4 linked regions of the Danio rerio genome follow. The protein of the gene in region 4 purifies or fractionates together with the protein of the main gene of each other region. This does not show direct contact. Links are inferred from orthologs where the notes say so. Each region holds a gene or a part of one and is shown on either strand. Other genes may lie near its edges. The genes, in order: ap2s1, eps15, eps15l1a and itsn1.

What was found.
Region 1: the proteins of itsn1 (region 4) and ap2s1 purify together in Homo sapiens (co-immunoprecipitation; 3 studies listed by BioGRID and IntAct, counting the BioPlex papers as one, with this or other methods). This does not show direct contact. The link is inferred for Danio rerio from reciprocal best matches to the Homo sapiens genes ITSN1 and AP2S1.
Region 2: the proteins of itsn1 (region 4) and eps15 purify together in Homo sapiens (co-immunoprecipitation; 3 studies listed by BioGRID and IntAct, with this or other methods). This does not show direct contact. The link is inferred for Danio rerio from reciprocal best matches to the Homo sapiens genes ITSN1 and EPS15.
Region 3: the proteins of itsn1 (region 4) and eps15l1a purify together in Homo sapiens (affinity purification with mass spectrometry; 4 studies listed by BioGRID and IntAct, with this or other methods). This does not show direct contact. The link is inferred for Danio rerio from reciprocal best matches to the Homo sapiens genes ITSN1 and EPS15L1.

What each region holds. Positions count from the first base shown.
Region 1 is NC_133190.1:9,937,952-9,945,643, forward strand, and holds part of ap2s1 (AP-2 complex subunit sigma), read left to right. Parts: intron 1-3,910; coding exon 3,911-4,060; intron 4,061-7,692. UniProt on the Homo sapiens protein: Component of the adaptor protein complex 2 (AP-2). Adaptor protein complexes function in protein transport via transport vesicles in different membrane traffic pathways.
Region 2 is NC_133183.1:18,310,399-18,318,090, reverse strand, and holds part of eps15 (epidermal growth factor receptor substrate 15), read left to right. Parts: intron 1-5,620; coding exon 5,621-5,782; intron 5,783-7,692. UniProt on the Homo sapiens protein: Involved in cell growth regulation. May be involved in the regulation of mitogenic signals and control of cell proliferation. Involved in the internalization of ligand-inducible receptors of the receptor tyrosine kinase (RTK) type, in particular EGFR.
Region 3 is NC_133197.1:15,668,450-15,676,141, reverse strand, and holds part of eps15l1a (epidermal growth factor receptor substrate 15-like 1), read left to right. Parts: intron 1-2,919; coding exon 2,920-2,961; intron 2,962-3,067; coding exon 3,068-3,157; intron 3,158-3,234; coding exon 3,235-3,282; intron 3,283-5,096; coding exon 5,097-5,192; intron 5,193-5,277; coding exon 5,278-5,343; intron 5,344-5,434; coding exon 5,435-5,560; intron 5,561-5,778; coding exon 5,779-5,838; intron 5,839-7,147; coding exon 7,148-7,390; intron 7,391-7,692.
Region 4 is NC_133176.1:50,352,699-50,360,390, forward strand, and holds part of itsn1 (intersectin-1), read right to left. Parts: intron 6,176-7,692; coding exon 6,066-6,175; intron 3,687-6,065; coding exon 3,424-3,686; intron 1,844-3,423; coding exon 1,694-1,843; intron 1-1,693. UniProt on the Homo sapiens protein: Adapter protein that provides a link between the endocytic membrane traffic and the actin assembly machinery. Acts as a guanine nucleotide exchange factor (GEF) for CDC42, and thereby stimulates actin nucleation mediated by WASL and the ARP2/3 complex.

The sequences.
Region 1 (7,692 bases), on a different chromosome or scaffold from region 4:
ATATGTCGGAGTATTTGGAGTGTCTATTCTTATCAGCTAACATGCTAGTGTAAAATATGCCGATTAAAACTGCACCACCAAGGTCATAAATCAAATTATTCTGACTTAATTTATTATCTATATAATCCAGAAAGAAAAACACATAATAGTCAGCCTGTCATCTCTACAATACTTGTCAGAGTAGAATTAACGCTGAAATCAAGAAGCCAAATGTTCATGGCTAATGTTAGTTATTTGATGCTAGCCCTGTATTTTTCGTTTATAGTATAACGTTGTACTAATTTGTGTCTAATTACGTTTCAACACAAATCTTGCTACACACTGGTTTGTCTAAACTAAACTGTATTGTTATAATGCCCACTAACATAACAAGCAAGCACGTGACATGACAGGTTTATGTTGAGGTAACGTTAAAGTCGGTGTTATGTTCGCACCTTTGCTAATTTTTGGACAGTGACAACTTGTGACACGGTCTCTATTGTGTTTACCACAATACTTTGAATATTCGGTCTGAAATCGCATGTAAATATGATTTCAAACCGACATTAGCACTATTTTATTGTTTTCAATATTTTTGTTGCATTTTTTTCAGATAAAATTGTTATAAAAGGTGTTATAAAGGTGTTATAAAATTACTCTTATTGTTATCGTTGATTGTGTTGACCGTGCTGTTGTATAAGTTTTGACTTGTGTGTATATCCATCTGTGTTTCCCCTTTCTATTATTTGGTTTTTGGTTTGTGTGTTTGTTGATTGTTAATATACACACACACACACACACACACACACACTCACACACACTCAGACACAGTAAGAGGCAGTAGGGGTTGGACGCCACACTTTTCTTTTTGTAAATATTTTCACCTGTTTTTGTTCTTAGTCAGGGAGATGGGTGTATATTTTTATTTCTGTTATTTTATTAATTGTAGTAAGTTACATTTGGTTGTTTAGTACTTTTTGTTTGTTATTTTTCTGTGGGTTCACCCCGAGGTAGTTGGCTTCACATTGTTTATTTATTTTTATAAAAGAAAAAGACAACTAAAGAGACCCGACACAAAAGGGTCATTAAAGTGTATTTTATTTGTCGGGTGTTTTTTTATGTTGCGGCCCTGACCCTAGACCAGGGTGGTAACATATTCAAACTTAAATGTATATGAAAAATAGAAGTCCTACCAGCAAAGAGATGACATGAAATATATAGCAACAAAAACAAGAAAACTGTAGAATTCTTAAATCAAACTTACAAACTTTTCTACCCCTTTCATGCACCATTCCTCCCATCTCACACCCATATTTTCTGAGGCCTTTAATAAGTAGATGAATCAAGACAGATACATAAATAATAAACCAATTAAAAAATAATTATAAAAAAAAAATATATATATATATATATATATATATATATATATATATATATATATATATATATATATATATATATATATATATATACATGTATATATATTAGGGATGCAACGATTAACCGATTTCACTATTAACCGCGGTTTAATTCATCATGATTAATTAAACGTAAAGGCTTCTCAACACCGCAATTCTGAATAGTACAAAACTTCTGCAAGTAAACAAAGTTACTCCAACTCTGCACAAGTTTGAAGTTTCGAGCTTGTACACTGTGGCTGAGGCTTAGAAAAGGGCCGTTCACATATTGTGTCTTTGCATGCACAAATTCGTTATTACTAGGGATGCTCATTTCTGTTAATTTTGCTAACCGACAACCGCCGCTCATTAATCGGTTATTAACGGTTAACTGGTCAGATACTATTAATTTTATATTAAACAAATTGACGTGTCTATTTTGTGTCTGACACATTAAATATTGCATAAAATACTGATTTATTTTTAAATGCTAGCATATTAATAACAGAACAGAACAACAGAGCATCTTCACACACCTGCAGTGTTTAGCACAGAAGAACAGAATAAACTAAATAAAATGAATGAAATAAATAGGACTGCCCTAAATAATTTTCCACTTAAATAATTAATTTATATTACAAATCGAAAACACTGACTGATTATTTTTAATAACCGGCATATAGGCTGTTTTTTCCAATCATATTTTTGTCTTCCGTCAAATAAAATAGCAGACTTCCTCAAATCACTCGCTCCACGAAAAATATGCATTTATTTAATGCCCCGCTTGTATTATTATAATCACAAAACCTTTTACATTTTTAATACAAATCATTATTTTAAAGATTATGTCTTGCTATGGTTTCCTTTCTCTTCATCGCGGCTCAAGTGCGAGCGCTGCGTGATGAAAAGACAACAACAACGCGCGCAAATGTTGACTTTTTGTAAACAGTTTTGTTGTTTAAATATGATATTGCATTAATGTTCATACATGCTTTATAAGCTTTAAAATAAAAGGTAAAGCCTATTTGTTGCGTTTATGACGCAGATCCAGGTCAACATCAGTGCTTTTTTTGGCATCAACACGTCTGTTTCAAGCAATTTTCTTCTTCCATTTAGCTTCTTTGGCAAATGTGTCTGTAGGCACGGGTTATACGTTGTCGTCCCGCAAGTTAAGTATGTCTTGCAGTTGAACAAGTGGCCGACCACAGCTAACGTGGTTTTTTCATTCCAAAAACGCGAGGTGCACCTCACTGCCCTTATGTTGACAAGGAAAAAAGAAGAGAAGAAGCGCGGTCCTCTTATGAAACGACTGAATCAGCTGGGTATCGATTGTGCAAAAGTGTTGCTGTATATGTTGATAAAATTTTAATATTTAATAATATTATGATATTCAAGATTTGTACATTCATACAGCTCTGGATAACTTAAAACAGTGATTAGACCTTCAGAGCGGCAATAATGTGTCCTGAAGTAAAGCGAAACGGCTATAAACTCCAGCAAGATAGAGTGATTATATACAGAGCCATATACCTTTATCTATAAATAAAGTATAACTATAGAAACTGTGTTCATCTTAACTGAATGCAAAAAATACTTTTTAAACTTCATTTTAAGTCCAAAGAGAAAGGACTATTGTTTGTTTTTATTAATAATTTGCTTATATATTATTATTATTACCAAGCAGAAATAAACAAAACTTTAATATGAGGAGTTTCCAGGTGATTTTTTAAGCTAGTAGTGTTTTAAAATAAATAAATGCATAATATTTTTCAGAGATGGGTTGCGGCTTGAAGGGGATACGCTGTGTAGAGCATATGCTGGATAATTTTGTGGTTCATTCCACTGTGGCGACTTCGGATTAATAAAGGGGCTAAGCCGAAATGAATGAATGAAAAAATGCAAAATAATCGTGATAACCGTGTAACCGAGATTATTTCTCAGAGTAAAGTCGTTCAACCAAAGTCTAAAATCATATATATATAAATGGGTAAATATAGAAGAAGAAAATATGAAGTAAACACTAAAAGTCTCCCTTTTGAAATTCTAGTCAGCAGGTCCTGAAATGTTAAGGTTCTCAATGACAGACAGTATAGGACTTCATGTTTTGTTAAAGTTCAGTGATCCTTTAAAACAATGTCTCAGTTTATCTTCCAACCCCAACTGCACAAACATCAACACGCCATGTCATTGCCTTTACCTCCTTGTTCGCCAGGCACGCAATTCTCCTCAAATGGAAACTTATGTCCCCTCCATCATCAGAACACTGGATTAAAGAGGTTCTACATTGCATCTTTGCTGAGAAACATAAGCCATTATTTAATAGACTGTGAACGATGTTGTACTTTGATAGCCATTGGCTGCTAATATGGTTCGCTTATTTAGAATTTGCAAAGAATACTTTACTGAAATTATATTATCAAGGAAAAACTTTGAATATTTGCCAATATAAAACCAACTTTACCCCAATAAGGTTTATGTTTTATGCTTTACTGACTGATTTACAAAATTTTTATTATTTTACTGTTTATTTCCAGATCCGCTTTATCCTCATCCAGAATCGGGCTGGGAAGACCAGACTGGCCAAGTGGTACATGCAGTTTGATGACGATGAGAAGCAGAAGCTAATTGAAGAGGTGCATGCTGTAGTGACAGTCCGTGATGCCAAACACACCAACTTTGTTGAGGTACAACACTCGCTTTTAACATTTTTCTCAGGTCTTGGGTTAAAGTTAGTTTTATATTCACATAACATTGACAATTTGTGACACCCTTCCCCAAAACCGCTTGCAAAGTATGACTTCAAAGCATCATTATCTCTATTTAATTAACTGTGAACAATAATATACTTTGATCAGGGTTCATACGGTCATGGAAAACCTGGAAAAGTGATGGAATTTTGACATGACATTTTCAAGTCCTGGAAAAGTTTTGAAAAAATGGAAAAACCCACAAGGTTTTGGAAATGTCATGAAAATGTGTTTACCAATTACCTGTATACCTGCACGATATTGGAAAAATCTGACATTACCATATTTTGTATTTCTGTGATGTACATTGCGATGTGAATACAATTTCACTTGATGATTTAACAGGTTTATTTGGATTGATTGGGGGAATTTTGTAGGGGAGTGAATCTCGACTAATAAATAACAAATAAATTACAAGCATAGATAAATAAAATATAGTGAAGATATAGGTGAATTATAGGTTTCAGGTCTTCATTGTATATTATTTAAACTTTATTTACAAAATAGTTACAAAACATTTCAGTCACAGGCCTTAAAGGGATAGTTTACTCAAAGATTAAAATGTACTCACTATTTACTCGCACTTCACTTGTTTCAATACTATAGGAGTTATTAAATTGGATTCTTTTTGTGTTCATAAAAAAAAAAAAGAAAAAAAAGAAAACGCATAAATGTTTGAAACAAGTGATCGGTGTAATATAAATGGGAAGTAATTTTTGGGTGAACCATCTCTTTAAAAATGCATGCTGACGTACTGATGCTGAACTTTTACTCCATTATGTTTAAACTCTATATTAAACTTTAATCATTGCAACATTGCATATCCTGCCATGTGACTATAGTGGATGCACAAATTGCGATATCGATGCTGAATTGATACATTTTGCTGCCGTAACTTGAATTTAGGTTAGTTGTCTTTACTTCTTTACTATCCTTGGCCAAAAACTTGCTCTCACAATCTATCAATATGAAAACAAATGTAAACAAAATAGATGGTTGCGTGTTCTATGATGTGCTTTAATAAATTTTAACATCCTTGTTTTTCTTATTATTTCCCATGTACATGTTGACATTACATGAAACATTACGCCATGAAAATGTACTTGAAAGTACTGGAAAGTCATAGAATCCTGTTTGATGGAGTTTGACTGCTCATATGATTACCTTATTTAGAATTTGCAAAAGATACTTTTCTGAAATTATATTAAGAAGGTGAAAGTCCCGATGTGCGAATATAATACCAACTTTACCTTTATTTCTTAGGTCAGTGTGTGAGTCCATTACAGTTAACTACGTTGGTTGCAATGGTTTATCATGGTTTTTGGTTGACTGTTTCGTTATGGTATGTGCAAAGTTTACAAATGATGGCTGCAGACAAATTCAAAGAACAATAAACCTTTTTAAAATTTAAAATTTTTTACATTTTTGGCTATTTAGGCCATCTAAGTTTTTTGCAAGAAAATTGGCATTTGTTATTTGGGTGACTGTCTGAATTTACATTGAGTGTCTGCTGAAACACTAATGGCTGTCATGTTTTTTTGTCTCACCTGCACTTTTGCCGTTTATCTCCATCACTTGCCATGCTGAATGTTGAGAAACTCTATATTTACTTACTAAGAGGTGATTGGACAGGTCTTCACACATGCATGCAACATATGTGAAGTGTAAAGCTGGTTTTATACTTTTGCCTGGCGCACTTTTGATGACTGTGTGTGCATCTCACAAAATGGATAAGGCTTTTATACTTGCCGTGTTCGCTGTTGTGATACTCTTTAAAACGACAGGGTGGCGCCGAAAAGAAACCCACCAGTAAGACAGATTGATAAACAGAGAAGTGGAAAGTTTCCAGAATGACATCATATCGTTAATATAATACAACTTTTTAAATTATTTTTAGGATTTTTATAAGTTATTTAAATGATTATAAGGATTTTTATAACCATTCAAGATTTTTTTTAATCAAACTTTGATGCATCACTTGCTTTTGTTCATATCTTCGGCAGTTTTACCTATTAAAGTTTATTAAAATATTAATGACAACAGAACATGGGTTGCTATACAAATATATATTTTTATTATGTCAGGATTAAATGAAAAAAAGTACACTTACTAAAAAATACAGATGTTTTTCTTTAGATTTAGCCCACACCACAGTTCACACATTATTGTCTGTCTAGTTTCTGTCCTGTACTTATACTAAACAGGCAACAATGGTCCAACATCCCTGACCATTGTCATCAATAAAGCCTAGAAAAAACAGGCCATCAGTATGCTGTAACCGATAGGTTCAAATATTCCTTCCCAGTTATCAAAGAAATAATTTGTTCCTTAATTATAGTTTTGTAACTATTAAATTGTTTTCAGTTCAAAATTATAATATATACGTCAGTGTAAAACCTATGAATGGTGGAAAAGCATATTCTGCAAACTTGTACCTGGATCTTCACTTTTGCCATGGCCTCTTTTGGCTTTAATAAACTCTTCAGGTTTTTCCAAACTTTTTAACAAAAACTTTCCTCCTTTCACAGGGCTGTTGCAATTTCTAGCCAAGAATTAATTGATCATTAGGTTATTTCAAATTAAAAGCCCATTGTTCCACTATTGTGCTGAATCGTTCTTTATGCAGAACCGTTCCATTCCGTGCCAAACCGGGCCAGACAGCACGGATACGGTTTCATTTTCCACTGTCATGCTGCAACAAAGCTCTTTGAAAAATTACACAAACCTATTAGTAGTTACCTTGGTAATACAATGTAAACGGCTCCTTCGTTGAATTAAATTTAAATAAACTACTTTTTTGATGTTCATAAAATCGAAAGCAACTGGATAACTGAGCACTGTTATGTCGCTTAATCAAATAGGGGTGCTAAATATAGGCACATGTCACAGCACCCTTATTTATTTAGAGGTCATATGTAGGCACACACAGAGTCTGCGTGCGCAGAATTCCTCAGATTTTCCACAGAATTTCGCTGATTTCCGAAGATTTTTAGCCCATCAATAATTCTGTTTATTTACTTGGGTAAATCTAAGTTTATTTAGTTTTTAAATTAATTATAGTAATATTATTGACTAATATGGAAATGTTCATCTGATTTATGTACATATATATAATATACCTTTTAGTAGATATATTACATGAGAGACTTGCTTCGTTTACCAAATAAAGTGGATCTAATTGAATTTGCATTTTAATCATTAAAAGTTTAAAAGATATTATATATTATTTCACATTTTAATGTTTTAGTTGTAATATTCCCAAAATAATTCTGCAGAAATCTGCAGATTTTTACCAAAATTCTCAGCAGAAATATAAAAAAAAGGATTTCGTCTGGCCCTATATGTTGCGCGGCGGCTCTGGTTAAATCTTATTTGGGGGGAAAATGACCAAAATGTAACGTGATGATTGGAGGGGAGATGAATAATATATATCAAATCTCTGAACATAACAGAAAATTAAACAACGATAATGCAACAATAATAGTGCATTTGTATTATAGTGGCAAAGTATATTTTTGGACAGACCTTGTCAAAAGTGAGCGGGCACTTTCACTAATAAAAAATATAGC
Region 2 (7,692 bases), on a different chromosome or scaffold from region 4:
AGATTTTTTATTCAAATGCGTTCAGATTAGTTAATAATGTGGTCAGTCAGTAAGGGAATGAAATGTACATGAGTTTATTTATTTTGTTTTGAGACATGCCATTCATTTAAGGAATGACTTAAGTCGGCTTTATTTTATTTTGAGCCATGTAATTGATTAAGACAATGAAATTTTTATTCTGTACGTCAGCAGTATTATATTCTGAGACAGATCGTTTGTTAAAAGAATAATGCATTAATCTTAATTTTGTTTTTTTAGACATGTTAATCATTAAGAAAATGAATTTTATTTTATTTTGAGACTTTGTTTAAAGAATGACATGCATCAGCAGCATTTTGTTTTATTTTGAGGCATGTCATTCATTAAGACAATGACAGTTTAAATTTATTTTTATTTCATTTCGAGACATGTCATTTGTTAAGAATACCATTTTAATTTTTTTAATACATGTCATTAAGACAATGAATTTTATTTTTATTTTGAGATGTTATTCATGACATGCATCAGCAGTATTTTCTTTTAGTGTGAGACATGTCATTCAAAATAAATAAAGTATTTAATTTTATTTGACTTTATTTTGAGACCTGTCATTTATTAAGGCAATAATATTAAGACAATGACTCTTATTTTGTTACATTTTTATGACACATGACATACGTCAGTAATGTTATATTGAGGCATGTCATTCATTACAACAAAAACGCTTTCTATTTTGTTTTGTGAAATGTCATTAACACAATGAATTTTTTTGGTCTTGAGACGTCATTCATTTAAAGAAGGACATGCATCAGCAGTAATTTGTTTTATTTTGAGACATATCATTCATTAAGCCAATGATTTATTTTATTTTATTTTGATACTCGTCATTAGTTCAGTTCAATTCATCTTTATTTCTATAACACTTTTACAGTGTAGATTGTATCAAAGCAGCTTAACATAGAAGTTCTAGTACATTGAAACTGCCTCAGTTTATTTTCAGAGTTGACATTCGTTAAGACAGTAGCGCTTTTATTTTATTTTGAGACATGTAATTCATTAAGACAAGGAAACTTAATTTATTATTATTTCATTTCGAGACATGTCATTCTTTAGGAATAGCATTTTTATTATAAGACATGTCATTAAGAGTGAATTTTATTTTATTTTAAGACGTCATTCATTTAAAGAATGATTAGTTTTGATTTAAGACATCTCATTCATTAAGACTTTTATTTATTTATTTTATTTTGAGACCTGTCATTCATTAATACGTCAGCAGTATTATATTGAGACATGTCATACATTCAACAAAGACGCTTAATTTATTTTAATTTTATTTTGAGAAATGTTATTTGTTAAGGCAGGGGTGTCCAAAGTCAGCCTTGGCCGGCCAGTGTCCTGCTGACTTTATCTCCAACTTTCTTCAACACACCTGCCTGGAAGTTTCTAGTATACCTAATAAGAGCTTGATTAGCTTATTCAGGTGTGTATGATTAGGGTTGGAGCTAAACTCTCCAGGACACTGGCCCTCCAGGACCGAGTGTGAACACCCCTGTGTTAAGGCAATGAATTTTATTCTTATTTTGAGATGTTATACATTGAAAGAATGACCTGCATCAGCTGTATTTTTTTTATTTGAGACATGTCAATTATTAAGACAATATTTTATTTTATTTTTCATTTTTATTTTTTTATTATTTATTTATTTATTATTATTATTTTTTTTTTGGAGACCTGTCATTCATTAGGACAATGACACACATACGCACTAATGTTAAAATACATTGACAGATGGATACCTAATGAGCCGGAAAAACAATGGCATGTGTGTGTGTGTAAGCTTACAGGAAGGGAAAACAGTCAGATATATGTGTGTATGGATATTAGATGGCATATTGACAGCACAGCTGGTCTCGCTCTCCAGGGTTCTCCTTTCCTGTCATCAAACAAGGCCACTTATCCTGCTGATTTGCTGTTTTTTTTCCACATCTGAAAATGTGCCTGTGACACCTGTGATCTCTTGCATGTGCAAAAAGCCTATTTAAAATGGATCTCGCTCTTGAATTTCTTTAGTCTTTTTGAAGTTCAATTGATGTGCATTTTAAGTTTCAAATGTTGTGTCAAAAGTAGTCCTGATTAATGATCTCACCTATGCAACAGTGCAAAATAAAGAAAATTAAAAATCTATATTTTAAGCTGTTACAGGCAAAGGGCCTCTTACTAATTTTAAATGCGATCAATATTTGTTTAGACTCCTAATAGATTAGCCTTGAAACATGCAGGGCTTGTAGGGAGCTCGTAACGTTAAATAATTCAATAAGAGTGTGCCGAGTTTTAGCTGGTGCCGCTGCTGTGTTTAAAGCCGGGATGATGAATAGATTCTATTTCGGGGTCTGTCGGCTTCCAGCGCCGCTTCTGATTGGAGAAGGAGACGCTTGTGCTTTAGACTTGTGAATTTTTCCGTCTTCACCCTGAGCAGTTACTCAGTTCTGCTGCTGAAGACCTGGTATTTTTAGCCACACTCAGTCAGAGTCTCACACTGCTGTAATGGTACCTTCAGGTGAGAAGGAAATTACATCTTTTGGATTTCCATTGTTTTTTCTAGAAAATGCATTACTGAAGCTACTCCGTTCAACAGTTTATTGACCATATGATCTGTTAGAAACAGAAAACACACCATTTGTTGATATATTTTGTATGTATAGTTGTTAAATTATGTATATTATTTATATACATTCTGATATATAAAATAATATAAACAAAAACACATTTTTTATATCCAATTGCCAGTGTTTTAATAATCAGATTCCTCAAGAAATGTGTAATTTTCCCTTTGAAAATTCAGCTTCATCACTAGAATAAAGTAACAATACTATAATATAATATAATAATATATTGATAACATAATTGATACATAATTGATATTGATAACATACTATAATATAATACTATAAAATAATACTGTTGTTTGTTTGCAAATTTATGTGTGGACCCTGTTCACCAAACAGTGATGCGTTTGACTTTGCATTATTTTATCTTTGCATCAGCTTACTGCTTATGCGAGGTGTTTTGAATGCAGCATAAATGGGCGGGATGGTAAATTTGACGTTGTTTTTCTTTTGGCTGCTGTTTCCCTGTCTCAATCAAATTGTTTATTATTTGATCAAAAAGGATACAAAAAATGTTGTGAAACTCTCCTATTCGCTAGGCTTTAAGTTTGCCCAACTGTGGCAACTTCTGTTTCAGGTATAATCCATAAATGTAAAAAATGTCTATCAGTTTCTATTCAGTTTTTTTCTATTAACTGATATTTAAATAACTACTGTTATAGCCACAACAAAAGCCAAGTATTGAACTTATTAGCTCTTGTAAATTAAAAATTTAAATGGGTTATGTAATTTTTAATAAGAGAAGTAAGGTGGTATATTTTCTTGTCTTACCGCCACAAAAAAACTGTTTAAATGTAAAAATTTTATATTAATTTTATTCTATATTTCTTTCTTTCTTTTGTTCTTTCTTTTTTTCAACTTAATAGTAACTGAAAGCTCTTAAAATGCATAAATGTATTAGAATTTTTCAGTTGTATGTAATCATTTGAACAGAGGGAGAGGATGGATGGATAGATAAATGAATAGACGGATAGATGAATAAACAGACGGACATATAGATAGATAGATAGATAGATAGATAGATAGATAGATAGATAGATAGATAGATAGATAGATAGATAGATAGATAGATAGATAGATAGATAGATAGATAGATAGATAGATAGATAGATAGATAGATAGATAGATAGATAGATAGATAGATAGATAGATAGATGGATGGATGGATGGATGGATGGATAGACGGACGGACGGACGGACGGACGGACAGACAGACAGATAGATAGATAGATTTTTTTTATGAATTCGTTTTTTTCTTTTTGTTCTTTTATTGTTGTTCAAACCATTCCGAATGAACCAGTTGCAAACAACAAAGAAATTGTTTTGTTGCCAAACTATTCAGACGTCGCCTTCGATAAAGTGGGCGATTCTTGGCCAGAATAAGCTGCAGTGTGGTCTTAGACTCCATATCCCTGTTACAGATGGCATCTTCAGGCTTCACAGTCCTCCTACATGTCTACACTTTCCCTACGCATTCCGTCATGTGCTGCCGGGAAATATTCAGCTCTGAGTTCCGCATTTTAGTAGTTTCGGCACAAGGTCGCACTGAGGCTGTGAACACAAATCATAAAACACATAAATGCAGTGTACTGTGGTCTCATTAATGTCACAAACAAAAAATGAAATCAGTCACTGGATAAGGTCATAGCTGATGCTCAATACTCTGAAGCCTACATGAGGTTGAACATTACACTTTCCATTAAGAAGGAAGTGTACCTGCACTATTTTTTTTTAAATAATTTAATTATTTTGTATTTTTAATTGTATTTTATTTAATTTATTTTATGATTTTATTTTAAATACTTTATTTTTAATTATTTTATTTTTAAGTAATTTTATTTTAATAATATATTTATTATTTTGAAAAAAAATCTTTTTAAATGTATTTTATTTTAAATACTTTATTTTTTTATTATTTCATTTTTAATTTATTTTTTTATTTAAATATATTTTATTTTAAATACCTTATTTTTTCCTAATTTATTTCGTTTAATCATTTTAATTTTTAATTACATTTTTTCTTAAATGTATTTTATTTTAAATACTTTGTTTTAATTTTTTTATTTCATTTAAATTTTTTTGAATTTTTAAATGTGTTTTATTTTAAACACTTTATTCTTAATTATTTTAATTTATTTTTAACTATTTAATTTCATTTTTAAAGGTATTTGTTATTTTTAAATGTATTTTATTTAAAATAATTTATTTAATATTTTTTGTTGTAAATTTCTTTATGTATTATTTAAATACTTTATTTTTATTAATTTTATTTTTTTATTATTTCATTTCATTTTAAATTTATTTTTAATTGATGTTTTATTTTAAATTTTTAAATTTTTATTTTTTTAAATATTTTTTACATCTATTTTATTTAAATTATTTTATTTTAATTACTTTATTTTTAATTGTTTTATTTTATATATTTTTATTATTTTGTTTTTAAATGTTAGGTCTGTGTTCTTTCAGTTTGAGCAAGGATTAGAATTAATTTGTTCATTGCGTAAATTTATTTTTCACTTCTGTGTTTAACATCTTGGTAAGTTCTTCCATCTGAATTGGTTTCTTCTGTTAAATGCAATAAAAGATTTTTTGAAGAATTGGTGCTACCAATTGCCTTTTTTTCTACTGTAGAAGTCAATCAGTACCAGCATTCCTCAAAATATTTTTTTTTGTGAAACTCATGAAGGTTTAAAATCCCACGAGTTTTGTTTAACTATTCCTTTAAGCTGTTGTGCATATAATTCCTTTCTGTCTCTATTCTGTTTTGTTTACTTGGCCTTTTGGTGTGTCTTTTGTAATAGGTTTAAACACTTTTACCATCTCAATATCTTTCCTCCTAGTGCGTTTTATATTCACTTTAGGAGCAGCATTATCTCTCTGCAGTGTTGTCAGTGTGATGAACTCCTGTTTATTATTAGATCAATGAAGATATGTTGATTGTCCTCTAAGAACGAAGCATCTCTTTCCCTCAGGACCTGCAGGAGGAGGTTCAGAAGGGCTCAGATGAGCTGGGCCGCCTGCAGGCCGAGCGGCAGGAAGTGCAGGAGAAGCTAGAGAGGCTGGATGAGCAGAAACGCTCGCTAGAGGAGCAGCTCACGCTTATTCAACAGCAATGCAGCCAGGAGAGCCAACTGGTAAGAGAGAGACAACAATATCAAGCCTGTGTATGAAAGATACTGACCTGAAAATTTAGAAAGCACTTAGCCAAAGACCAGGGTTCATATGGTCATGGGAAACCTGGAAAAGTTGTGGAATTTTGACATGACATGTTTTGGAAAAGTGATGAAAATTAGTTTAATGAATATCTGTATGCTTGAATATTGGTTAGTTGTCTTTACTTTTCTGTCCCTGGCCAAAAACATGTTCTCACTTTATTAGTGTTGTGTAAGCATTATCTAAATAAGTATTACATTGATATAAAAATAAATGTAAACTAATGCCATTTACCACATATACTTAGACTTTACATGAAACATTAGGTCCTGGTCTTAAGTGTCCTGGAAAAGTCCTGGAATTTTAGTCGTAAAAATGTGTTTCAACCCTAAAAGCCAAAAAGGACTTCTTGTAAATTAGTTGTTGCTGTAATATTTTGTGTTAATATTAAACTGTTTATTACATTAAATTGTATATTGTAATTTATGTAATAATTAATTCAAACTAATTTGCTGATTGTTTCACAACAAATTGGACAAAATTATTTAGAGCAAACTTTATATATGGAACCTGTTTACAAGGCGGTGATGCTTTTACTCGTCATCAGCATCTTTATTCCTTCAAAGATTTTAATACGTTAATTTTTTTAAATGTATTTTTAATAAAATGCATTTACATTTATAAAGCTATAATTTGTATTATATAATCCGTGGATCAGATTACCACTTATGCTGGGTGTTTGTAATGCAGCGTCAATGGGCAGGACAGTAAATTAAACATAGTGTTTTTTTCCTGATTGCCATTACCAATCTCACACAATTTTTCTTTTTTATTGTTGGGAAAATTGTTAAAACACCATTGTGGATTTTTATGATTATTATTATTATTATTATTATTATTTAATCAAATAGAAATACAAAAAATTGTGGTACTTTCCCATTCATTGTGCTCTAAGTTTGCCCAGCTGTGACAATTTTCGCTTCTGAGATACCCGGAAATATAAAAAAGGGTTTCTAAATAACTAATAGTTTTAAATAACTACTATTTTAAGTAGTTATTTATATAACTACTATATTAAGATGTATAAGCAATAATGCCTATCCGAGTAGCTGGTAAGCTGGGGTCACTTGGAGTTCCAAATATACCTATTAAGAAACAGGGCAATAATGTCTCCCCTAGGGCCTCATTGATGGATTTAAAAATCAATGTCCAATAATTTTTTAAAGAAGGGCAAGACCAAAGCATAAGTGTCAAATCAGCTGGAGAAAACAAACATCTATCACAAGACGCATCTAATCCAGGTTACATTCCTGCCAACCGTGCCTTGCTTAAATGTAACACTTTAACACTTTATAAGCCCGAACCTAACAGAGGATGATGATGCATGAACATTTCTGAGTGCCTCCTCCAAAAAAAGTCTCTGATAATTTTAAGTTCGTCTTTCCATCTAGATTTAATTTTATCCACATTATATTCTTTCAGAGATATGAGTTTAGCGTATAATGTGGAGATCAATCCTTTATTAAAAAAATTAAGAGTAAGATTATAGAGTTATTAAAACTATTAAAACCGGTTTTCATCTTCACTGGCAAAAATATGACATAAAATCATAATAACAAATGTTTTTGTGTTACTTTACTTAATTTAACAAGTTAATCAGGTCTCAACTAAATTTGTTTAGCATACAAAACGTAATTAATGTAATGTCATTAGTCAATCTGACCAATTTAAGTTGAGATGACTAGAAAAGTAAGGGCATTCGCCACATAAAGCATATGCCAGAGTAATTGGTGGTTCATTCCGTAGTGGCAACACCTAATAAATTAAGGGCTAAGCTGAAGGAGAGTGACTAGAAATGTTCAATTGATTCAACTAAAGATTTAAGTGTATG
Region 3 (7,692 bases), on a different chromosome or scaffold from region 4:
ACACAAAAAATGTAGGAACGTTTTCTCTATTTGAAAACTTAAATTTTTTCTTGGCAAGGTTGACATTTGCATGGAATTGCTCATATATTTACAAAGATGTATGCGTATATCTGTTATTTTAGTATTACTCATGTACTGAATTGTTGCTATTACTACTTTAATTGTCATTCCTTTTTTATTGCAGTTTAAGTTTTGATAGTAATTATGTATTTTTTGTGACTACTTCTTAAATGTTATTTCTGATGTTGTAATGACTTAATTTCACATTTTCATGTTTGGTTACACTATTTTAACGTGTCCTTGTTACATTGTAACTCCAACTACTGAGGAGGAATATTAATTAATGACATGTACTTGCTTTAGCTACGTCCCAAATGACACACTATACACTATGCACTTATGCACTATGTTCTTATGCACTTACACACTTAACAGCATTCAAACCGGGCTGTTTTACCGATATTTACAGTGCAAATGTTACGGGTCTTGTTAATCGGATTTAGATTGCTAACTGATTAGTTCGCTTTGTATCTCACTTCAGCAAAAAATACCCACATAACATCTATGTTATCAATGAAATTTGCGATAAACATTCAGCTGCAAGAACATTTAAAGTTTATATCTGTTTATATGAATGGGAAATACAGTAAAAAACAGTTATACTAATGTAATAACAAGCTAGCCGCAATATTATCTGAACATCATTTACACTAAAACTAACTGTCAAGGTGATTTACATACACAAATCTTCATTATATTGGAATATGTGGATAGAACAGTAATACAGGTTGATGACTTTTGTTGAATAATGGTATTATGCAGATATGTGGTGCGTTGTATTAAAATGGGTGTTGTTATGAGTTTAAGATGTTTAAGTGGGATGCTGTAACATTTAGGTGAGACAGGTGTAATGTGTGCGACAGATGAAGGATGAGGCAGGAATCAATTCAGTATTTAAGCTTTTTTTTACTCAATAGTTTAAACAATGTGTAACAATAATAAATGAAAAAAGTATCAAACATTTTCAATTATTCTCTTTAAACAAAAACAACGAGTGTAAGCCAAATCAAAGAAATGAACAAAACAAAACAATTCTCCTTAAATCTAAAGTACTAGGCGTCAAAAAAGAAGTAATGAAAATAAAAACTGAGATCTTGTACACGACACCCGAACTAAACTAAATAAACTACAAAACTCAAAATTACACTGGTGGAAAACACTCAAACTAATCTTACAAAAATCCATCTAAACTAAAACAAACCTAACAAGACGGTTAAAGACTCAGTTTAGAATCGCACAACAACCAGTACATTATTTTACTCAAAGCCAACGAAGTTCAACAAGCAAACTCGAATTACTACAGTAAACTGAGATAATGAATCACTAAACAGATTAAGCATGTCAAAAACAAATTGTGTGGAGCACAAAAGGTATTCCGAGGCAGAACGCACACCACATACTGGTCTGTTGAGGCTTTAAATGCTTGCGGCTTGTCCGGAGATTGGTGGAACCGACACAACAAGGGTTGAGTAAGAAGCGGAGAGGGTGAGAAAAATAAATACACAAAGAAAAAAACTAACATCAACATGGGTCAGTTATTACCAGCATCAGTAATCTCACTGTATGTAAATGTATCTAAAAATTTACAAAGATGTGTATAAATGTGTATATCTGTTATTTTAGGATTACTCATGTACCTATTTGTTGCTATTACTACTTTTAATTTTTCATTGATTTTTCTTTTTTGTTGCAGTTTAGGTTTTGATAATAGTTATGTACTTTTTGTGACTACTTTTTAAATGTTTTTTCTGATAATGCCATGGCGTAATTTTCCATTTTCATTTTTGGTTACTCTATTTTAAGGTGTCCTTGTTACATTGTAACTCCAACTACTAAGGAAGAATATTAAATTGACATAAGCACCGAAACCTCCCCCTTTCCATTATGTGGGCAAAGCTGCGGTTGTTAAGTGCGTGAAGTGTCCATCATTCCACACTTCATATTACCGGTTGAATAAGTGCATCATCCGGATAATTAAAGTGCACTTATGATTTTTAGAGTTTTCAATGTGAATGCACTTCTTGCACTATTTATACTACAAAATGCCATAGAATAGTGCATAAGTGTGTGATTTGGGATGCACCTGACCTAATAGGGTTACTATACTATCAGAATGCAGGTTTGGTTTTGGGTTATTTGTAGGGATGTAACGGTATCAGAATTTCACGGTATGGTAATACCTCGGTATGAATGTCACGGTACTGTATTTATTGAATCATTTACAGGAAAAAACAAAAACCCTTTAATACTGCAACATTTATTTATTTATTTATTTGTTGTTTTAGTTTTTTAATGTAATATTTATATTTAATTTTTAATTACAGTTAAAGTCAGAATTATTAGCCCGCCTTTAAATTTTTTTTTCTTTTTTAAAAATATTTTTCAAATGATTTTTAACAGAGCAAAGAAATGTTCACAGTATGTCTGATAATATTTTTGCTTCTGGAAAAAGTCTTATTTGTTTTATTTTGGCTCGAGTAAAAGCAGTTTTTAATAATAAAAATACATTTAGTCAAATAATATTTACTGTCATCATGTCAAAGATAAAATAAATCGGTTATTAGAAATGGGTTATTAAAATTATTATGTTTAGAAATGTGTTGAAAATATCTCTAAAAATCTCTCTGTTAAACAGAAATGTGGGGAAAAAATAAACAGGGGGGCTAATAATTTTAACTTCAACTGTACAAATAAAAAATGTCAACTAACAAAAAGCATGTTTAGAAGCTTTAGTTAACAAAAACACTACATTATATTACATAATACTAAAAACATATATCTCAATCCGACATATTATCAGCATATTCTATTTAAATGGATTTAATCCTAAAGCTTCTCCCGTTTTCCTCTGTTTCTTAGCTGTCAAGCGGAAACCCTGTATATGAGAACTTTTACAGACAGGTAAGGACATTTATGTTGCATCTCATTTGACTGCATTTTAACAATACCTTCATACTGAATCAATATTGAGCTTATTTCATTCTCTTTAATGTGCTTGTAAATAAAGGTCGACCCAGGAAACACCGGTAGGGTTGGACCAACAGAGGCTGCCTTGTTCTTGAAGAAATCTGGTCTGCCTGACATCACATTAGGAAAGGTTGGTGTTTTGGTAAAACGATTAAATCTTAATTCTGGATAATTATAATCCCCAGTTACCTTCTCGTCTCCTCTCAGATCTGGGATTTAGCTGATCCAGATGGCAAAGGTTTCTTGGACAAACAGGTAAAGCTGTTGTAGCTGATTAAATTGAATGTTAAACAGTTATATGCATGACACATCAGAAAAAAAGGAGGACATATACTGCATTATTTGTGTTATTTATGTGTTTTGTTTTGTTATTTTTTATTAATATATTTACTATTAGTTACAAACACATTAAAACAAACCAACAGATAATGCCCATTTTAACAATGCAAAAGAGAAAAAATAAAAACAATTAAATAAATGAGCAGAAATATGATAATAATAATAAATAAAATAAGTAAATGAATTTTAAAAAACTAAATTAATTAATAGAAATTAAAAATAGATAAATAGTTCAAATTAGTATTATTAATAACGTACATTTGATCATTGAAGAGCTGTGATATCCGATCCTGTCAGAACGAGACAAGCGCAAGAGTTAAGCGCGAAAAAACAAAGGAGAAGCCAGAAAAACAACAGCAAATGATGCTTTCAGCAACCTAAAACATTAACAAACTGCCATGTTTAACTATGATCATCACCTTTCAGACTATTATGCACTCGGAATGACGGAATTACTCTCTAACAGAGGTTACATGTGCTGCTGAATATTACAGACACAAATGAGAGGTTTGCACTGTCTGTGGGCTATATGTTGCCTGTTGTTTTTGAACCCAAATAAGGCCTAAATGTATGCTGTGTGTAGTTTTCGGTAATTAATAACAAATCGGAGACTGTAATGGTCTGCATGGGTTTATATATGTTGCATTTATTCATTTATTTTATATAACTGCAGACGTTACTGTTGGCTATTTCGCTCTGTCATTGATCTGGAGTTATAATCTAATCATGTTCATAGAAAGGGTGTTAATGAACATTTATAGACAAGTATTTATGTGTATAAAGCATCAGTTTTGTGAGAAGTGCTTCTCATATGATCCTATGAACGACCCGTATGGCTTTACTGTGACATTTCCTTAAGTAAAAATGACGTCGTCTGAAACTCTGTCATACACCTCGCACACCAAAAGGATATCCTTTTGGCAGTGGAAACGCAAGCTTGATAAAGTGGAAACGGTCAATAAGAAGTCCCGACTTCCATACAGAAAAGCCAATTGTCAAGCTTTATAGCCTGGTGGTTTTTTGGGCGAGGGGTCTGTACAGTTGTTCACGTTTGTTACAACAACGTTGTTTGGCGATTTTGTCATGACTACTGTTGAGAAATAAGATTGTCAAGTTCAAATTGAGATTATCATGTTCATATTTATTTGGTAAAAACTAAAGTTTTTAATGTAATATTTTAATATAATTTATTTCAGATTTTTATTCAGTTAACATGAATCTTTCGCTAGCTATAGTTATCAACAAAAGCTATGCATTATGTAGCATAATAGTAAAAAATGTTTACATTTATATGGAATTTAGCAATTGTAAATTGGATGCTGGTGGCGCGGTGGTGCAGTGGGTAGTGCTGTCACCTCACAAGAAGGTTGCTGGTTCGAGCCTTGGCCGGGTCAGTTGGCATTTCTGTGTGGAGTTTGCATGTTGTCCTTGTGTTGGCGTGGGTTTCCTCCGGGTGCTCCGGTTTCCCCCACAGTCAAAAGACATGCGGTATAGATGAATTGGGTAAGCTAAATTGTCCGTAGTGTATGAGTGTGAATGCGAGAGTGTGTGGGTGTTTCCCAGTGATGGGTTGCAGCTGGAAGGGCAATCGCTGCGTAAAACATGTTGAATAAGTTGGGGGTTCCTTCCACTGTGGTGACCCCGGATTAATAAAGCGCCTAAGCCGAAAAGAAAATTAATAAATGAATGAAATTGGATGCTGACTTGATCTGTTATGGTTTGTTTGTTAGGGATTTTACGTTGCTTTGCGTCTCGTGGCATGTGCACAGAGCGGCCACGACATCAGCATTTCCAGTTTAAATCTCCCTGTTCCTCCACCAAAATTCGTAAGTCTCATTATATATAGTTGATATTTTTGTATATGATTGGTATGAGCTCACAGACATTTTCTTTGTACACTTTTTATTCCAGAAGGATCACAGTAGTCCATCACTGAGTTCAGTAACATCTACTAATGAGAGTCACTGGGCTGTGCGGGTAATTTAACTTTGCTTGTCTTTGTGATTTAGTATTATAAAAGATTTTGTAATATTTTTTTTTGTTCTTAATCTCTTTGTTTATTTTTCAGCCTGAAGAGAAGAGCAAATTTGATGGTATTTTTGAAAGTCTTGCCCCGGTGAACGGATTACTGTCTGGTGAGAAGGTCAAACCAGTACTGATTAACTCCAAACTACCTGTAGATGTTCTCGGAAAGGTAAAAAAAAAAAAAATAAAATAAATTGAATGAACCCATAACCCTAAACTATTTATAATGATAACAAATTTTATAAATTATTATTATTAATTTGTACTAATTATTATAATTTTTTTATTTTTTAAAATAATAGTTTGTATTTAATTGGGATGTTTTTCTGAATTTATTGGAATAATATTTTATAATAATGAGATTATTAAATCTGTCTGTTTGATCAGGTGTGGGATTTGAGTGACATAGACAAAGACGGACACTTGGACAGAGATGAGTTTGCAGTGGTGAGTAATTCGTTTTTCAATGTTAAAATCTTTATAGCGTAATACATACTATCATGTCAACATACTGAGTGCAGTATGCAACTCAAAGTCAGTTTAAAATGCAAAAAATTGTCCATTCGAATCTGTCATCTTAAATTATGTTTTTCTTTTGGAGCAAAACATTTTTTTATCAGGATATAGAAAAGGCTGAAAATATTTGACATTAATTTCAATTTAATTTACTTTCAATTTTAATGTCAGTTTAACAAGAAAATAATTGTCATTTTAAAAGTTTTACACTTTCACAATTTTTTACCTAACAATAAGTTTTAGTAATTTAGACTATAACACAATTCTTGTGATCAGTTGTTCTTTTATATGCTTGTTTTATATGTGCAGCCGGTAATCGGTTGGTTTCATATTTTCTAAATATACCTGAATGATGATAGACTGGTATTTCAGCCATATTGATATGTTATTATTAAACACTCATATTATCATATTGTATCACTCAATAAATGTTTGGTGTATATATTGATGCACATTTTGATTCATACAATTAGAATTATTGTCATGTTTTTAACATTGAATGATTTTTAAAAAATAAATATAAATATTTTTTCAAATATATTTTTAATCATTTAAGGCAAGAATCTAATGGGCTGTTTCCACTGAGCAGTATGGAGTATGGAGTTGAAACAACACAATTCTTAATTTTTTTTGGGACAACTTAGTTATTTATCTTCATTTTTAATAGTGTACAGTGCATGCGTATTTTCTATCAGAAGTACCAAAATAGCAAATCATACCCTACCGCTTTTGTAAAGGTAGAACAACAGTACCTATTATTAAAAAGGGGGAGCAAGACTCACTACTGAGCACTTATTGGTTCAGAGAGAATTGCCAATTGCACATGTAACAAGACAGCCACTCAAAAAATGGTATTTTTTGTGGGGACAACTTCATTATTTTACGTTCAATCCACTTAAATTTGTAAAAACGAATAAGTTAACATAATTCTTTCATGTTGTCCCTACACAAATCTTTTTGTGTGGAACCCAGCATTTTTTCAGTGAGGGAGGTAAAAGACAGGAAGCACCATTTTTAAATATATCGCAGTAATATTATGAAAGCATGCAAGAATGAAACCATGTTCTAGAATTAGTGTCTCTTCTGGTGACAAAAAAGCCACATATCCCCAGAAGCAAGAACAGGATCTGCTGTATGTCCTCCATTGTTGTTTATGTGGCCGTTCCTTAATCAGACTATTGCTCAATACAAACTAAGCATAAGTAGTATGTTAGTTTAATTTATGTCACTTGTTGTACAGGCAATGCATCTGGTGTACCGCGCACTGGAGAAGGAGCCTGTGCCGTCCGTCCTGCCCTCCTCACTCATCCCTCCATCCAAAAGAAAGAAGTCGTCAGGGTCATTGTCCAGCATGGTGCCAGTGTTACCGGGAAGCCCACCGCCACCTAAAGACAGCCTGCGCTCAACTCCCTCTCACGGCAGCATGAACTCGCTCAACAGCGCCGGAAGTCTGTCCCCAAAACACACGCTCAAATCCTCACAGGTACATACACTCAGGGTGTCTGCAGATCCTTATAATATCTTAAATTCCATAGTATAATAATAAGGCCTGGGTGGCACGGTGGCTCAGTGGGTAGCACTGTCGCCTCTCAGCAAGAAGGTTGCTGGTTCGAGCCCCGGCTGGGTCAGTTGGCATTTCTGTGTGGAGATTGCATGTTCTCCCCGTGTTCTCGTTGGTTTCCTCAGGGTGCTCCAGTTCCCCCCACAGTCCAAAGACATACCTGGGCTAGCTTATCAAGCTTTTACTAGGTTTTCTAGAAACATCCTAGCAGGTGTGTTGAGGCA
Region 4 (7,692 bases):
GAATTAAAGACAACTTTTGGGAGACAATAACTCCCTTCATTGTGCACTTTAAAACCTTTTACATTCACAAACAACTGCATTCAGAGTTTCGGTAGGTTTTAAGAAAGTAAATTTTAGACTTTTTAAAGACCCGTTTAACACCAACTACAGAGAACTTAAAACAATGGGAACAAAGGGGAAACAATAAAGCAATATCTTGAGAACTTTGAATAATTTCTAGGCAGCACATGAAGAGTTGTGTTTATAGCTAAATAATTTCAAAGAAAACACACTGATCTTCATTTTAAATTAATGTGCTAATAATTTTAATTATTATTAATAATTATTTAAACTCTTGAATACTTCCGATTCAACCATTTGATTATAGAAATAACTTTTCTGTAAATTTACTTTAAATGTGGACTACTTCACTATGGGAAAGATCAGAAGGTAAAAGCTATTTAAGGCCCATGAAAACCTTGTATATTACACACTACATTAAAAAAAATGTACACACACACACACGCACATACACGCACACGCACGCACGCATACACAGACAGACAGACAGACAGACAGACAGACAGACAGACAGACAGACAGACAGACAGACAGACAGACAGACAGAGACAGACAGACAGACAGACAGACAGACAGACAGAGACAGACAGACAGACAGACAGACAGACACATACACACACACACACACACTTGAAGTCAGAATTACACAGAATTATTAAGCCCCCTTTAATTTATTTATTTATTTTTTTTTTTGGATTTTTAAAAATATTTACCAAACGATGTTTAACAACGCAAGGAAATTTTCACAGTACAACTAATAATATTTTTTCTTCTGGTGAAAGTCTTATTTGTGTTATTTTGTTTTATTTTGGCTAGAATAAAAGCCGTTTTTAATAAAAAAAAACATTTGAAGGTCAAAATTATTAGCCCCTTTAAGCCATATATTTTTTTCGATAGTCTACAGAACAAACCATCGTTATACAATAACTTGTCTAATTAACCTAACCTGCCTAGTTAACCTAATTAACCTAGTTAAGCCTTTAAATTCCACTTTAACCTGTAAAGACGTGTCTTGAAAAATATCTAGTCAAATATTATTTACTTAATAAAACTATTATGATTAGAGATGTGTTGAAAATAAACAGGGGGCTAATAATTTAGGGGGACTAATAATTCTGACTTTACTGTGTATATATATATATATATATATATATATATATATATATATATATATATATATATATATATATATATATATATATATGGCACTTTAAATTTGTTCTACATACTGTAAAAATGCAATCAATTGGTGTTAAAACAACCTAAAATTTGTTCGTTTTTTTTTACTTTAAGTGAACTGAACAGAAAACAATTAAGTTGCTCCCCAAAAAACTTGAGAATTGTGTTATTTCAGATGATTTTAAGCATGTTATTTGATCAAGCAAAATTAATTGTTTATACCCTACGTATTTAAAAGTGTTAACCACCACTGTAAAAATGCAGGGTCAAAAACAAGTCATTCACGATGTCCCAACACAAATAAATTAAGTTCATTGGTTTTGACAAGTTTAAGTGGATAGAACATAAAAAAGTAAGTTGTCTCCAAAAAATATCTCAAGAATTGTGTTGTTTCGGCTCATTCTAAGTAAGTAGTTTAGACAATTATTTTTCTGAGAGATGAAAGTGCACATGCCAGAGCCTCCAGCTCAAACTCGAGAGTTTTCTTCCGTGCTTTGAGCAGGACGATGTTCTCCTGTTCTCTGTTCCTTTGGGTGAGCAGCTCCTGTCTGCGCGTCCTCTCCCACTCCAGCTGCCTCTGTCGCTCCAGCTCCCGTTTAGCAGCCTTCAAACACACAAAATCATTTATTTATTTATTGCCACATAAGCAACTTATGGCTATTTCATGGCAAGATCAATTTGCATAAAAACACTACATGATAGAACAACTTCATAATTCATTAAGAGATGGCTCACATTAATACAAAGTCAAACATGATTTTTCTCAATTTAATATTTGATAAATAACTTCAAATTCATCCTGGTGATTCCTTTTAAAAACATAAAATAAAGTGTTTTTGTCTAACAGTACTTAAATGTCCACATTCAAATAAAATATGCATCATGGTGAGAGCACACACAAAATAACACAAGGGTTAATGATAGTGTCAATAGTGCTGAACACTCTGGCTTCAAGGCACTGGGAAAATGTGCGACTATGTTGTTGAATATTGCATGATATAATAGCATTTTTTTTTTTTTTTTTTAATAGTAATTTTTTCGGGGTTTTCACCTTTATTGGATAGGAAAGTAGAGAGAATTGACAGGAAAGCAATGGGAAGCAGAGAGAGAGGGGAAATATCGGCATAGGACTGCGAGGCGGAATCGAACTCGGGTCGCCGCGAGTGCATGTGCCGTTGTACTAACCACTACACCACTGGCGCCAACATAATAGTATTTCTTACAATATAAAAACAATATTAAATGATATTTCCCTAAAAAACTTATTTTACAATAAAATCAAAAAACATTTTAAGGTCAATATTATTAGTCCTCTTAAGCAGATGAATTTTTCGATAGTCTACAGAACAAACCATCATTATACAATACCTTGCCTAATTAACCTAATTAAGTCTTCAAATTGCACTTTGAGCTGAACAATAGTCAATAGTATCTTAAAAATATCTAGTAAAATAGCACATATTGTCATCATGGCAAAGATAAAAGAAATCGGTTATTAGAAATGAGTTATTAAAACTATTATGCTCAGAAGTGTGTTGAAAAAACTCAGTTGAAAATAAATTGGGTAAAAATTTAAAAGTAATTTTAAAGGGATAATAATTCTGACTTTAACTGTAGCTAAAATCAACCAATGTATTAAATAAAATGTAATTCAACTACACACAACAGCGATACAATCATTGCATATGCTATTATCGCGATAACCATACTTATCACAATATATTGTTCAGCACTACTTATCACTAGGCCCACACGGAATCTGTGAGCGCAGAAATCCACGGATTTTTGTCCCATCACTGAGTCTATTTATTTACTTGTGTAAATTTATATTTATTCAGTTTTTAAACTATTTTCAGTAATATTATTGACTGATATGAAAATGTTCATTTGATTTATTTACAATACAGTTTGTAAAGTAATATTTTCTGTCGTTTAGTCGATTTATTATATGAAAGATTTGCTTTGTTTGAGTGGATCTAATTCGATTTGCATTGTAAAAACATTAAATAAAAGTTATTAATTTTTATTTCATATATTAAGTTTTTAGTTATGATACTCCCACAACATTTCCGCATAAATCCACAGATTTTTAACAAAATTCTCAGCAGAAATAGCAACAAATGTCAGCAGATTCTGTCAGGCCCTACTTTTCACTCATGGATTTCCGAGAACTTGAGAACGCACCTCTCTTCTCTCGATCTCCTTGCGTCTCTCCTCCTCCCGCTGTCGCTCCAGCTCCCTCTGTCTCTCCAGCTGTTTGTCCAGCTCCTGCTGTCTGCGTCTCTCCTGCTCCAGTCGTTCCCTCTCCTTCCGCTCCTGCTCTTCTTTCTCCAGCGCCGCCAGTCGCTCCTGCTCTTTCCTCTGCTGCTCCAGAAGTGCCTGTCGACGTTTCTCCAACTCCAGGTTTCCGCGCTCAAAGTTCTCTCGTTTCTTATCCTCAAATGTGACTGAAGGGAAATTATGGAAACAATTTTAGGAGATTGATGTACAACATTTCATGCTGCAAAAGACCATTTAATTAGCATTTAGCCCCTTTAAATTATGCATGCATATTTGTGAAAACAATAACAGGTATCAGTGTGCATGTACAGTGCAAGTCAGAATTATTCGCCCACCTGTGAATTTTTTTTTCTTTTTTTAATATATAAATTTTTGACATTTTCACAGTATTTCCTATATTTTTTTCTACTGGAAAAAGTCTTATGTTTTGGGTGGAATAAAAGCAGTTTTTAATATTATTAGCCCCGTTAAGCAATTTATATTTTTTCAAATGTCTACAGAACAAATCATCGTTATACAAATGACTTGCCCAATTACTCTAACTTGCCTAATAACTAGTTAAAGGTGCAGCAGGTGATTGTCTCTAGAAACACTTTTTGCTGTGCTGGTTGAAAGTCTCTACACATCCCAATAGTATTGATTAAAGTAAATGATCTAAATGTATTTATACATATTTTTATACTCTGAATAAGATATAAAACTAAAAAATGAATATCCAATTAAATAGAGTCGGGCTGGCATCTCCCATAATTCCGATAAGTAGCCCAAACTGTCAGCAAATGCAGATTTGAACAACTGCTCCGCCGTTTGTACGCAGCTCCGCTGTTTGTGCATTCCGCGTTCATGAGAGAGAGAGAGAGAGAGAGAGAGAGAAAGAGACACACACACACACCTAGGTGATTTTAAATGAATCATTGTAAATATACTGATTATTATTGTTTTTATTACTGTTTTATCCTAAAATGTTGATTGTTAAATGTACAGTTTATTCTGATCTATTTTTGTATTGATTTGTATAATATGATATGTTGAATAATAATATAATATATTGAATATTAATGTGATATATTGAATAATATGATGTATTGTTGATATTTTATTTAATTATTATATATAAATATATTTTTTTACTACTACTATTTACTGTGTGTACTGTATATATATATATATATATATATATATATATATATATATATATATATATATATATATATATATATATATATATATATATATGTTACTTTTTATGTAAACTTTATAACTGCTTTGGCAATACATTTGTAACATTTGTCATGCCAATAAAGCAATTATTAAATTGAATTGAATTGAATTGAGAGAGAGAGAGAGAGAGAGAGAGAGGGAGAGAGAGACTGTAAAAACATGCTGAATCAAAACTTTATAAAAACCTGAATCAATATTGGAGTTAGCGTTTCACACTGGAGAAAGGATGACACCATGGCTAAAGTATTTCTCTAAGACAGGTAATGTTCTGTTTAAAAACTATTTTAGCTTCACGCAAAGCTGATGTAACGTTTGATGTTGTTGTTACAAATGGGTTATATCCGCACAGAAGTCTTGTTCAGCCACTAAAATCTTCCGATGAAAGATTGATGTGACTATTTTCAGTTTCATAAGGTCTTTTTACATCATCTATAATGTAGATTTTATTTAGATTAACAACAAAACACAAGTAAATAGCGCTATTCCGCCTAGCCAGCTTTACTGAGGTGAAGATGGTTTTATATTCACATCCCAGTGGTTCATTTTTAAACAATGACAACCTGTGGTGCTGTCCTTCTATTGTTTACCATGCTACTCTGAATATCCGCTCTGAAATAGCATGTCAGTTTGGTTTAGTAATGAGTGTAATTCCTGCATGCCACCAGTCAAGCACTTGTCGCTTTTAACACATGAGAGAGGGTTCTTCTGCTGTCATCTTTAAGGTGCGCATGCTCGTGTTTCAGAAGGCGTGGCTCTGAATGACAGGGGAGGGACTGTGATTCAGAGATTTATGCTAAGCTGTTAGCATTGTGGAAGATCACCTACTGCACCTTTAAGCCTTTAAATTGTGCTTTAAACTGAATACTAGTATCTTGAAAAACATCTAGTAAAATAGTATGTACTGTCATCATAGCAAAGATCAGTCCATTGTTAGAAATGAGTTATTAAAACTATTATTTTAAGATCTTTTTGTGTGTGTAAGTTTGCAATTGTGTAATTGTGCAAGTGTATTGTGTACTATGATAATGTTGTTTAAGTACTGCAGGTAAATGTAAACCAGGAACCTGATATTTTATCAGCCTAAATGACGAAAAACATTTTTAAAAGTAAGTTAATGGTGGAAAATGTACAGTTAACACAGCCTCTGTTGGCAGTGGATGTTCTCCATTTATATAGGTAACTGGTATCAGATCTCACAACACATTGCACTGAAAGGTATTAATGCAAAAATAATCAAGACTATCCATATAAAAAAATGTGCAAATTGAATTCTGGGGTATACTTGTCATCTGAGACCACATGAACTTTAACCAATGTTTCCTGACCTGGAAGTTTTTTCTCGGCCTCTTTCTCCTCCTCCTCTGGCTCTTCCTGAGACCGCAAGTCTGTCGAGTGCATGCTAGTCACAGACACTCCACTACCAGAGCGCATTCTCCTACGCACACACACAAAAAAAACATTAAGTGAATGGAAACATCAAGTGTCTCTAATTGCAAAAGAGTCATGTGGAAATAAAACGTATCAAACATTTGCAGACCATGACTTTGTCTTTCATGTGGCATGTATTGTAGCGGTTTTAAATTTGTTGTTAACATGATAAGGTCAAATTGCAAAAGTAAAGTGCAAGGTAGGGCGGTGACTTCTTATTCTAGAGAAGAGGCAAAAAGCACAACAGATGTCAAACTTTTAAGCTCAATATAGTTGCACAAATAAATTACACATCTGCTTGTTGTTGCTAATGGTAAATTAATTGCAAAAGGAAGCTTTAATGTGACCTACATGTTTGCTAATTTAGTTTTAAAGGTCTCCAACACCAGGTTTATATCCATCCAGAGTCAAAATGTTAATTTTATCATTGCATATGTGCAGAAATGCATGCATAGTATATGATGTATAGCTTTTTTTTTATTATTCACACACAATTTTTTAAGGGTTACAAAAAAAAGGTTTAAGGTTATTAACCTATATAATTAGCTTAAGCATATCATAATTATATAATATAGAAAAATGCAAGAGAAAAAAAAACCTTTACCTCAAGAACCTTGCTAGCTGTCATTAAAAGATCAAATTTAACAAGATTGTATTCAATACTTTTATAATAATAATAATAATAATAATAATAATAATAATAATAATGATAATATCAATTAAACCATTTATAAAATTACAGTGAAAGTAAACTCATAATGATTGTTAAAAGGGGACCTTTTTCAAGGTGATTTATTTCCCCATTATTTTTATACGGTTTATTTCAACATGTACATACATATAGAGGTTCATTCATTTTATATTAATTACTCATGCTAGGCCAGTGGCTTACATTTTATTGCATTTATTTGCGTCAGCCGGCTGCATCTGGATTATTCGCTGCATTGAGCGAGTTTTTTTCTTTGGGTCATGTAATTTATCCAGAAACAGCAATGTTGAACTCCAACATTAGATCGTTAACAGTTCCTTTCATATTCGTGTCTTGTCTATTAATTGTCTATTACTTCTCATCGTGAGAAACACCAGGTGTGGAGCGCAGGTTAAAATGCTTGTGTCTCATGACGAATGAGACACAAGCTGAGAGCCCTTAATTATGCCTTTTTAGGCGGGTGTGTTTGTGCGTCGGTGTACTTTTCCATTTCACAGAGTGCAACTTTCCTCAGAGTTTTCGCAAGATCTTGCTTGTGAGTGTTTTTTATGGCAAATGCAGCGGGAACTACGGGAACCCAGAGGAGAGTGTTGCATGTAGAGCGAAAACCAATTTTCATTCAAACAAATCAGTGTAACTTACACACTTAAGTTAATCGATAAATCGATTTATCGCCCAGCCCTAGTGAGAGGACTTAAAATTTTTATGCTATTGTTATGGTTCACATCGCTGTGTTTTCATGTGACAAAAAGAAACCATCTGAAGCTGAAATTCAGATATAGTAATTGGCATTTGGTTTCTGATATATCTCGTAA